Oryzias latipes: one gene and its partners. The protein of the gene in region 1 purifies or fractionates together with the protein of each later gene. This does not show direct contact. Links are inferred from orthologs where the notes say so. Each region holds a gene or a part of one and is shown in the gene's direction. Other genes may lie near its edges.

The links.
Region 2: the proteins of smc2 (region 1) and ncapg2 purify together in Homo sapiens (affinity purification with western blotting; 4 studies listed by BioGRID and IntAct, with this or other methods). This does not show direct contact. The link is inferred for Oryzias latipes from reciprocal best matches to the Homo sapiens genes SMC2 and NCAPG2.
Region 3: the proteins of smc2 (region 1) and hectd1 purify together in Homo sapiens (affinity purification with mass spectrometry; 3 studies listed by BioGRID, with this or other methods). This does not show direct contact. The link is inferred for Oryzias latipes from reciprocal best matches to the Homo sapiens genes SMC2 and HECTD1.

What each region holds. Positions count from the first base shown.
Region 1 is NC_019859.2:11,205,010-11,208,760, forward strand, and holds the start of smc2 (structural maintenance of chromosomes protein 2), read left to right. Parts: upstream 1-1,208; 5' UTR 1,209-1,367; coding exon 1,368-1,535; intron 1,536-1,642; coding exon 1,643-1,792; intron 1,793-1,874; coding exon 1,875-1,997; intron 1,998-2,095; coding exon 2,096-2,134; intron 2,135-2,210; coding exon 2,211-2,321; intron 2,322-2,409; coding exon 2,410-2,454; intron 2,455-2,540; coding exon 2,541-2,774; intron 2,775-2,853; coding exon 2,854-3,003; intron 3,004-3,086; coding exon 3,087-3,320; intron 3,321-3,429; coding exon 3,430-3,589; intron 3,590-3,675; coding exon 3,676-3,751. UniProt on the Homo sapiens protein: Central component of the condensin complex, a complex required for conversion of interphase chromatin into mitotic-like condense chromosomes.
Region 2 is NC_019878.2:19,856,060-19,859,810, reverse strand, and holds the start of ncapg2 (condensin-2 complex subunit G2), read left to right. Parts: upstream 1-987; 5' UTR 988-1,093; intron 1,094-1,294; 5' UTR 1,295-1,318; coding exon 1,319-1,396; intron 1,397-2,084; coding exon 2,085-2,255; intron 2,256-2,419; coding exon 2,420-2,534; intron 2,535-3,299; coding exon 3,300-3,457; intron 3,458-3,573; coding exon 3,574-3,708; intron 3,709-3,751. UniProt on the Homo sapiens protein: Regulatory subunit of the condensin-2 complex, a complex which establishes mitotic chromosome architecture and is involved in physical rigidity of the chromatid axis.
Region 3 is NC_019880.2:2,616,699-2,620,349, reverse strand, and holds part of hectd1 (E3 ubiquitin-protein ligase HECTD1), read left to right. Parts: intron 1-1,049; coding exon 1,050-1,271; intron 1,272-2,039; coding exon 2,040-2,173; intron 2,174-2,256; coding exon 2,257-2,413; intron 2,414-2,502; coding exon 2,503-2,573; intron 2,574-2,888; coding exon 2,889-3,040; intron 3,041-3,104; coding exon 3,105-3,159; intron 3,160-3,233; coding exon 3,234-3,456; intron 3,457-3,621; coding exon 3,622-3,651. UniProt on the Homo sapiens protein: E3 ubiquitin-protein ligase which accepts ubiquitin from an E2 ubiquitin-conjugating enzyme in the form of a thioester and then directly transfers the ubiquitin to targeted substrates.

The sequences.
Region 1 (3,751 bases):
GACCGCTGACATAGATTTACTCTCGCATTTTCTCTTTTCTCTTTTTTTTTTTTTGTTTCTTTTTATTTCTTATTCCCTTTTGTGTTTATTATTAATAATTAGTATTTTTTAAAGAATGCAACATGTTTGTTCTGTATTTAGAATTTTATTGTACATTATATGTGCATAATTGTTGTATTTTCTTGTTTTGTATGTTGCAATTGTTCAATAAAAAAAAAAAAAAAAAAAAAAAAAAAAACTTCGTTCCCAAAACGTTTTAACCAACGGCTTCAAAGAGAGTTGAGTTTGAGAAAGAAGATTCTACTCTCAAAAGCAGAAGGGATTTCTCAACTTACTTATTTTGCTTTGTCTCTACACTTGGACAATCAGACTCTTAAATCTATTGCCCAAATGTTGTTAAATTTCATCTGGAAAAATCATATTTATTTAAAAAAAATCTGTATTAATGAACTATAAAAAAGGAGGCTTAAATTTTCTTAAATTTTACTTCTTTAAATAATACTTTAAAATAAACTTGATTAAATCATATTTAAAAATTCCACTTTCCATCTGGAATATTTTCCCTCATCACATTTTTGCTAACACATGGTCTCCATTTTTTTCTCCTTTGTCATTATAATATTGACAAAATCCCAGTTAAACTCTGCTTTTCACAGACAGATTCTTCTTTCATGGGCACTTACTCACAAATTTTCCCCTCATAACTCTTTTGTTTGGAATAGCGTATATACTTTACAAGAACAAATCATTATTTTACAATAATTGTTTTAATAAAGATATCCTACTGGTGGGTCAGCTTTTTAACCACAATGGACAATAAAACTCAGATATAAAGAATTTAACCTTAAGTATTATGGAGTCCTATACTGTTCATAATCCTGTGGCATTCTCACTGTTATGGCTAATGTTGTTGTCCTGCATACTTGTTCTACATGTGTTAAACAATAAAGTATTTTTAAAAAAGTACAGTGTGCGCCAATCACCCGATGGTTTAGGGATTTAGCTGCCCCGGTATATGCCTACAAAATGCATTGACAAAACGTTTAAATAAACATAATTGAACTGGTCTGAATAAATTATAGCAAATTACGGACCAAGTCTTTTATGTTTATTTTCTTTCAATTTTCTGTCAAATTATATTACATATGGATTTTTTTGTTTTGACTCCGGCATGATGAATGGCCTACTGTCGACCGAAAGTTTTCTTAGTGTGTGTTTACCGCCAAAATTCAAGTTAGACGACAGTCTTTTGGTTTGATATAAACATTGGGCTGTTGCTTTGCTCGCCGCATTTTTCTTTTAACTGACTTGTCGCTGAAACGGATATTTTCTGTGGCGTTTGTTTCGGCAAGACAAGATAAGTAACGATGTACATTAAATCAATAATTATCGAAGGATTTAAATCTTACGCACAGAGGACAGAAATTAACGGCTTCGACCCGCTATTCAATGCCATCACGGGACTGAACGGCAGTGGCAAGTCCAACATCTTGGACTCGATATGTTTCCTTTTGGGGATTTCCAACCTCTCACACGTAAGGACGTTTCCGCATGTTTCCATTGATTAAAGTAAAAAAAAAAGCAGCTTTGCCTTCTTTTAATAGCAAAAAAAACAGTAATTCTGTTCTATTTTATTTAAAAGGTTCGAGCTTCAAACCTTCAGGACTTGGTTTACAAGAACGGCCAGGGTGGCATCACCAAGGCCACTGTGTCTATTACTTTTGACAACTCCAATAAGAGCCAGAGCCCTCTGGGGTTTGAAACCCACGATGAGATCACTGTAACCAGACAGGTCAGGAAAGTACACAATTATTTAATATCCCAATTTATAAAGCATTTTTTAAAACTTGATCACAAACGTTTTCTTCATAAAGGTTGTCATAGGAGGCAGGAACAAATATCTGATCAATGGGGTCAATGCCAACAACACCAGGGTGCAGGACTTGTTCTGCTCTGTTGGCCTCAACGTTAACAACCCTCATTTCCTCATCATGCAGGTCAGCTTTGCATCTTAAACATTGAGAGTTTTCAGAAATTGCTAAACAAAATCATTCGTTTGACCTTTGGGGTCTTTTTTTTTTTTTTACTTATTTAGGGAAGAATAACCAAGGTTTTGAATATGAAACCACCAGAGGTATGTACTTTGTTTGATGAAAAAAAAAGTATAATAGAAACACTTTTGTTAGTACTAATATACTATTTGTCTCTAGATTCTTGCTATGATTGAGGAGGCAGCAGGCACCAGAATGTACGAATGTAAAAAGATCAGTGCACAGAGAACAATTGAGAAGAAAGAGGCCAAGCTGAGAGAGATTCAGACTGTATGTCTACCATCTGTTATTCAAGTTTCTTGTGGTTTTTGGGGAAACAAGCAGCTGCAAACTTTGTTCTATGTTTCCTGACGTTTAGATTTTGGATGAAGAGATTACTCCAACTATGCAAAAGCTGCAAGAGGTGAGCTAAATGTTTTTTATTTATTTTTTATTTCAACATTTGTGTAATGATTTAAGGATATGCTTTAAATGTTCTTTGATGCACAGGAAAGATCCTCCTATTTGGAGTACCAGAAGCTGATGCGTGAGATCCAGCACTTGTCACGACTTTATGTGGCCTGGCTGTTTGTGTGTGCCGAGGAGACTAAAGTCAAGTCGGCTGAAAATCTGAAGGTGATGCAAGGCAACATTGTCAAGATGCAGGCCAAAGTTTCAGAGAATGAGAGCAAAATCCAGGAGCTTTCTGCTCAGATTCAAGAGCTTCAGAAGAAAAATGACCAGGTACTGAAAGAGAAATAAAAGAAAAAAAATATTTGTATGTTTTGTGTGGCTCTGACACACTTTTGGTGTTTATTTTAAGGAGGTAAACGGAGAATTAAAAACCTTGGAGATGTCTCTTGCAAGTGTGCAGCGTGAGGATGCCAAAGCTCAGAGCAGTCTCGACTTAAAAAAGCAGAATCTGAAAGATGAAACCAAAAAGAGGAAAGAGCTCGTGAAGAGCATGGAGGAGGTAATGGATTCATTTGTGCTTCTCATTGGTGGCTGCAAGATTTTTACTTTATCAAGCTTATTGGTCTCGGTCATTCTTTTTAGGACAAGAAAGTGCTCGTGGTGAAGGAAAAAGAAGTGAGCAAGTTGTCCGAACAGCTTCAGGCACTGCAGGTGGAAGGACAGAAAAACACAGCTGAACTTGAGGCAGCTGAGCAGCATTTCAAAGCTGTGTCGGCGGGTCTTTCTACCAACGAGGACGGCGAGGAAGCCACTTTAGCTGGGCAGATGATGGCCTGCAAGAACGAGATGAGCAAAGCAGACACAGAGGCCAAGCAGGTGGAGAAAAGAGACACTTTTGATGTGCAGTGGCTTGACGTCCTGCACACCTGCTGCTTCTCCGTTGAATTATTTGATCCGAAACCCAACCATTTCCATCTTTGCACAGGCCCAAATGACCCTGAAGCATGCCCAGGCAGAGCTGAAGACCAAACAAGCGGAGATGAAGAAGATGGACAGCGGCTACAAGAAAGATCAGGACACCTTTAAGGCCGTCAAAAGCAGCCGAGAGAAACTGGAGGCGGAGCTGGCCAAACTCAACTATGAAGGTGCAGCATTCTCCTGAAAATAAAAGACGAATGTTGTAAAAGCTTTTGCCTGTTTAGTGACTCAACTTGTGTTTGTGCTGCTGCAGATGGAAAAGAAGAAAGCCTGATGGAAAAACGAAGACAGCTTTCCAGAGAAGTCGCTCAACTTAAGGAGACCTTTGA
Region 2 (3,751 bases), on another chromosome or scaffold:
GATTTTTAAGACATTTCCAGTTTTTTTTTCTTTTTTGTAATGATTAATTGACCTGTCTTCTATTTCTGTTTTCAGTGTTTTATTTAATGAGACTTATTAGATACACAATAACAAGAATTTTACAGGGGTTTTAGTGGCATTATATTTTTAAAATGGGATTTTTTTAGTAAAATCTGCTGAAATTCTTATTTATTTCTGCCCTGTTTAGCAAAATGTGAAAAATTAAATTATAATTTTATTATGAAGTCTAACCAAAGGAACAGAAAGGGAGGCTGAAGTAGCAGTCTTTGTTTGTTGTTGTCAGTCAATGTTGTTTTGTTTAAAAAAAATTGTTCTTTATGCTAGATTTAAAACATTGGATGCACAAACTGTATGCAAATGATAAAATGTTTGTTTTGTATATTTTAGGAGATTTGTGCAATATTGATGGGGGGAAAATTATGTTTTAGGGCTATGAACAAATGTTGTACATTACAAACACTGCAAAAAGGGTTTGCTTGTGCAAAAACATGTCAGTTGAAGAAACTAAGTGAAGACAAAAATGATTGATTTTTCAAAAAGCCGAGAATGCATCTATATCTTTGCTTGTACATGTTTTGTTATGTTGTTATAATTGTTTGAAACTTTGAATACATTTCTTGTTATCTATCCCGTGCCTTAAAAATCCAGTTTTTGTTTTTTTGCCTTCTTTACTATTATTATTTTGAATGATATGATGCCCTGTGACTTTTGAATAAATCCTTTACTCTTGTGAAGCCTGCTTTTATTTTTTTTAACTTTTATTTCTAAAAAGATTAAAAATAATAATAATAATAAAACAATGGAGTAAAAGATAAAACAAAATAAAGCAATGGAGTATTCTGCATTAGATTGAAGTGAAATAACACTTCTGTAGTAGTTTGTCGCCACCGTGTGGGGTATAGGTGGAACTGCAGTTTCCCCTGAAGATGAATGGCGTCAGAGGGCGGGGCTCGTGGATCAGGAACGTATGATGTCATCACGCAAAAACGAATCAAAATTTGCGCGGGGATTGCTGCCGTAATGGTCGGCTGTCACTTCACGGCTGTCGAGACTCAAAACGGATTATAAAAGGGTAAAAAAACGAAATAAAACTAATAATATGAATTTTTGACTTTGGACAATAATGTAAACATTTTGCAGACGTGGATAGATTTTTGTTTACAACTTCTAACAAATGCTAAAGAGAAGAAGACGGCCATGTTTGTTTTCCTTTTCGTAGCTTGTGTTTACTGTAGCCGCTAAAATACTGCTAACAGTGTTTCTGTTGTATTAGAAATCTTCAATTTGGGGAGCAATCATGTCTAAACGAGAGGCGTTTTTAGAAGCCGCTGGTAAAGAAAATGTGGACGAATTTCTTCACTTCATTGAGCTCCACGTAAGTAAAGAGCAGTTGTTTTAAAGGCTTAAGTTTAGGATGTTGTGGGGTGTTTTTAATTTCAACTGAGCCCCTAAAAAAATGAAGTTTCTAAGAAGCAAAAAAGGTACTGGTTTTAGTTTATTCGTAGTTTTATTCCATGTGTTTATTTATTTTCTGGAATTCTAGTTAGACTTGTAATTATTGGATTTTTAAGCCTTGAATGTCAAATTAAAACAAATAAGCAAGCGTGGACGCCAAAAAGTTTTATTTTATATATGATGCATTGCTCAGCTTTAGGTTTTTATTTTTATTTTATGTTTTCAGTTTTAATATCAATGTTTTAGCTACTGTTTTTGTGTGCAAATTTAAAATTTAGATTAAAAAAAATAGCTCATTAAATTCAAACATCTTTTATTTGTCTTTATAATAATAATGATGATGATAATAATAATGATGATAATAATAATAATTATAGATTTTGCCTGTTTTTTATTTAAATGCATAGCATGTAGTTTGCTTTGTGTGACAAGAATTTGTTTTATGATTATTAATATTGTTTGAGACTATTTTTGGTTCTTAATAAACACATATCCAAAATATTAATTTATCCTTTCAGTTTAATAAACAAGTTGTTTCTTTTTCTTATCTTTTTCGCCTAATCTGATTCCATTCCATAACCTGGGGTTTTCTTTTTACTTCTGAGCAGAGAGACACAGCTGAGCCCTTCGACGTTGAGGAGGTGGTGCAGGAGATGCCCAGTAACCAGAGAGAGGTTTTGTGGGGGAGACTGGAGTCTCTGCTTCAAAACACCCTGAAGGATTTGCCTCCACAGCACTCAGAGGAGCAGGACATGGAGCCAGACTCGGCTGCAGTGCTGGTGACAATTTACTCATCAGAAAGATTTTTCTTCTTAAGCTTAAACTTAACTAAATAAACTTGTTTGTAACATTGCATTTCTTTTATACAGAATCACATTTAGCTATAGGAATTTTCCATCTGTTGAGATCTTCTCATGCATCCATCCCACAACTTCTCTTTCAGAAACATGCCACTTCTGTCGTGGATGCAGTGACGCTGGTGGCTGCAGCATCTGTAAAGACTTTACAGGAAGGAGACACCTATAATGAACTGCTAAAGATTGCTCACAGTCTTCATGGTAAGGTTTTTAAATATAAATCTACTAGTTTCTTGTTTTTTACAGCCATTTTCTTTGAACATTTTTTTGTTAATCCCTTTGACAGATTATTGCAGAGACGTTGGGGATTTAAAAGCAACACTATATACAAAAATGAGCCCAAATATTGTGTTACATCCACCAAGCATGAAGAGTTCCTCTTTCTGCCTGATTGTTGAACAAAATTTTCCATTTTCTGGTCATAAAAGTAATCAATTTTGTAGACCTTGCACATATCATGTTGATGTACTTCACGCCTTGTTTCATTGTTCACATTTCCACCTAATTTAAAGCTAAATGGGTGGCCTTCTTCTCTTCTCTCTGAAATATCAATCCAACTTTCATTGGATTTTTTTTCAGAAGCATAACATTCTGTTTAAAAAAAAACATTTTAGTTTGTGATAAAGACGTCCAGTTTGCTAGTTTTAAGGCACACAGCTAGATGGCATAGTTGTCTTATCTTAGGCTAAATGCATCATTGGCTGTTTAGTTTCTTTACAGGTTTCACAGCAGGGTAGGTTTTTGATCACATGACACTCATCCATGTAAGCTTGACCTTGAACTCACACTTAACTAAACTGCAAAGAAAATGTTTAAAAAATTACCCTTCAGCATGTTTTAAAACAATTATTTGCAAAACTTAATTTGAGCCATTAAAAAATATCCTGGACATCTGAATTTCAGACTTACACCAGTTGCATTTGAGTGAATCTCAGTGAAAACGTTCTGCTTGGGTTCTTTCCTCAGAATTCCTGGAGCTGCTTCCTGTGTTAGGGGTTCCTCTGCAGGTCCACATACAGACTCTGTATGAGGCCTGGTGGAAGAAGGGCCTGCAGGACATGGAAAAGTTTGGTCGGGCTGCTTTCCTCATCTCTCTGCAGAAGAGCTTCACTGCAAAAAAGCCAGTCAGTAACATCTCTCATGAAGTTCATGAGATCCAAGGCAAAAAAGAGGCGCGGCTTCAGAAATAGAAGTATTGGGACCAGGTGGCTTTATCGTTTTTGTCTTTTTATTTTGTCAGGGGGCTGAAATTCAGAGAGTGTGGAGCCTCCATGATGTGCTCCTGACTCTGGATTACATGTCAGAGGACAACAAGCAGATCAAAGACCTGTTGCTTCAGTGCTTTCAGCGTCCTGCTTACATTCGAAGCGATGATGTGAGTCCATTGATGTTTAGTGGCTTTGTTTCTGTGATTCACG
Region 3 (3,651 bases), on another chromosome or scaffold:
GCAGCTTTCAGGCAGAAAGCAGGAGAGAAAAGTCTCAATACTTTTGAGGGTATAGTTCACCTTCACCTCTGTAAAACATCTGCAGATGCTGTAAACTTTATTTGTGGACTAGATTTCATGTAGGAGCCAATAAAATGTGATCTAGATTTCCCCGAAACCCCAAACTGTCAAAGTGGAAGCTAAAAATCAGACCTCACTTTACAACTGGTCTGACTATTGAGATGATTTTAAAAATGGTCATTAAAACCAGGTATTTTCTAAATATACAAATAAACTTGAACCCACCGTTTGGACAACTTTATTAGCAGCATTCTTATAACATTAGACAGTTACAGTTACTGAATATTATGCATAATATTATGGTCTGTGGGAACAACTGTTGCAATAAATCCATATTTAGAATAAAGACTCCAAGTTTTTGTCTGTTTAGTACAGATTTCTTTTAGTTTGAAGTGGAAGGTTATTCTTCTGTTTCCTCACTGGATCTTTTCTGCCAAAAGAAATTTTCCAGATGTTGGTTTTTCGTCAACGTTGCTAGCTAGGAGCTTCCGTTTAGGCGTCGGAGCAGCCGCTTTAAGAAAGAAGCGGATGGCGGACACGTGATCGAGCCACTTGACATGTCGGACATGGTCTAGAATCCAGTGGTTTTCCAGAATAAAACTTCAAGAATCAGATTATAAACAAAAAGGAAAGAATGTAGGTCATGTTTTTTCTTTACGCACCAGTCCGTGGCCTGGGTTTTGGGAACTACTGTCTTGAATAACCTATAATAGTTTTTAAACTAACATATTACTGATGAAGACTAATGAAGAGCAGTGTGATGAAGCCTCCTCACCCTAACAGGAGGGTTGTGGTCGAAGCTCCCAGATCCTCTATTCGGAACTTTATTTTTCCAATCCAGATCACATGACACAGGCGTCAGGAAGTCTTCCCCATAAAACAGCTGCTTTTCTTGTTGTGGTGGTTGAGAGATCCCTCAGCTGTTTCCTGTCAGCTGACCGGACTCTTCGGTTTCTGAACGACTAACTGCTGCTGTTGTTTGTTTTCAGCATCTCCTCTTATGGGCGCTCAGAGCTTTCCTAACCTCACCACCACTGGCACCACCTCCACCGTTACCATGTCAACCTCCATAGTAACCTGCGGTAATAATGTAGCCACAGCCACCACGGGGCTGTCTGTGGGACAGTTGCTAAGCAACACACTGACAACCAGCTTAACCTCCACATCCAGCGAGAGCGACACGGGACAGGAGGCCGAGTTCTCCCTCTATGGTTTGTTCACACACACCCACTAAAACACACAAACACATGAACACACACGGCCTGCTTCACTAACCTGCTCCCTAACAACAGTCTGAGCTAAAAAAAAAAGATTAAACGCATCCTTAGAGGCTGATAAACGATGCGTTTACTTTTTTGTTCTTGATAGTTTTATGTCTTAAATTGTTCTTTACATTTTCTCAAAGTGAGAATTGAAATCCGAGTCGTTGTCGTTGGAATATTAAACCCCACTTTGGATCCACTTCCAAAGCGTTCCCAGTGGTCTTTTCATCACGACGATGGCGTTTTTGGCCAAACTCTTAAAAAAAACTGTTGATTTCAAGGACATAGTTTCTGCAGAGCCACAGGAGTTCATTAGAAATTCACGTCTGTGTTGTGGGTTGTTGGTGCAGAGCATCCCCGCCCCCTTTCCCCTCTCCCTGTTGTTGAGAGCTAGAAGCAGGAAGCTTGCAGCCCTGCCCAGAGTGTTTTCAATGTCACAAATGCAACCTTTTTCAAACCGCTTTTTCCTGTCTGTTCCTGAATCACAGGATGCAGAAGAAAGAAATACCCAGAATTTAATTTTAAGCTTAGTTTTTTGCCTTCCATTATCAGAAAATTGCCACAAGAACAGGTTAAAACCCCCAAAAACTCTTATTTTCATTAGTGGTTGTGATCAGGACATAGAAGCGTCTCTTCTTCTAAATGTGGATGTTGGAGGTTCGCTGGATCTCCTCAGCGTTCTTCATCTCTCTTTGTGCTTCCTGGGATGTCCTGCAGACTTCCTGGACAGTTGCCGGGCCAACACGCTGCTAGCAGAGCTGGACGATGAGGAGGACCTCCCAGAGCCCGACGACGACGACGATGAGAATGAAGACGACAATCAGGAGGATCAGGAGTATGAGGAGGTCCTGGTGTGTTGTTTGCTCTCCTCGCTCCTCGTTTGTTCACACCGAAGCCAACAGTCTGTCAACTGCGCTTGTGGGCTGCGTTCCAGGAGGAGGAGGAGTATGAGACGAAGGGAGGACGGAGGAGGACATGGGACGATGACTTTGTCCTAAAAAGACAGTTTTCTGCTTTGGTCCCTGCCTTCGACCCCAGACCAGGAAGAACCAACGTCCAGCAGACCACCGACCTGGAGATCCCCCCACCAGGTAAAGCTCATGTGGTCATCGCTGTGGGGATGAGGCTTCGTATTCATCACCCATGGAAGAAAACGTAACGTCGCTCTGTTTCGGTTCAGGAACTCCGCGGTCGGAGGTTCGGGAGGAGGTGGAGTGTGCCCCATCCCCCCACCTCGCCCTCACACTGAAGGTGAGACACGGCAAAAGCCTGCATGAAGCTCTGCGTCTGTCTTCCTAGAATATCTCCACAGTTCTTTAAAAAGGTTTTTTTTATAAATATTTTGAATTTTCAAAAAGCAGATTTTGTTTTCTGAAATGTTGAGAGTTTTTAGAATGGTGTGATTTGACAAACCAAAGTTGATGTGAGGAGAAACATCAGCTTAGCAACAACAACAACTTTCCTGGAAATTTAAAATAGCTTCACGTACCTGAAAAGATACCGATGGCCGAAATATGTCAGTAGATCCGTTCGATCTCGTTCGCTGAAGGTCTGCATCTTTCCCAGGTGGCGGGTCTCGGCACGGCTCGGGAGGTGGAGATCCCGCTCTCCAACTACAAGTTGACCATCTTCTACTATGTGCAGCGGCTCCTGCAGCTCTCCTGCAACGGCGCCGTAAAGACGGACAAGCTGCGGCGCATCTGGGAGCCGACGTACACGTAAGTGTCTGAATGCCAACGGCTGGCAGAGGCAGAGCTTGACTGTGGGTGTGTTTTCCTGCAGGATCATGTACAGAGAGCTCAAAGACTCGGACAAAGAGAAGGAGAGCGGGAAGATGGTGAGTCTGTGTGGCGGGTGGGGGTGGAGCAGACATTTCAGGATGTTTAATGTCTGCTCTCCTTCTGCCTGCAGGACCTCTTTGAGCACGTTGTTGGAAGTCGTTCTGGAGGTCTGAGCCCCAGCTCGGGTTCAGCCAATCAGAGCAGCGAGATCCTGGGCTGGGCGAAGGAGGCGGTCCTGGCCAAGGCGGGCTGCAGCCAGAACGCCTGCGGGGTGGAAGACGTCCTGCAGCTGCTGCGCATTCTCTATGTGATTGGGAGAGACTCTACTGCAGGCGGACGCACGCTGCAAGAGGGTACGCATGCATGCACACACGCGTATGCCTGTGGACACACATACACATGCACACATAAATGCGCACACACACGTCGGTTCGAGGACCATGTTAGATCTGAGCACAGACGGAGAGGAGTCTCTGTCTTCATCGTGTGACTCTCTGATTTCTTCCCCCTGTGCTCAGATGTTGACGAGCTGCAGTTCAACTCGCCTC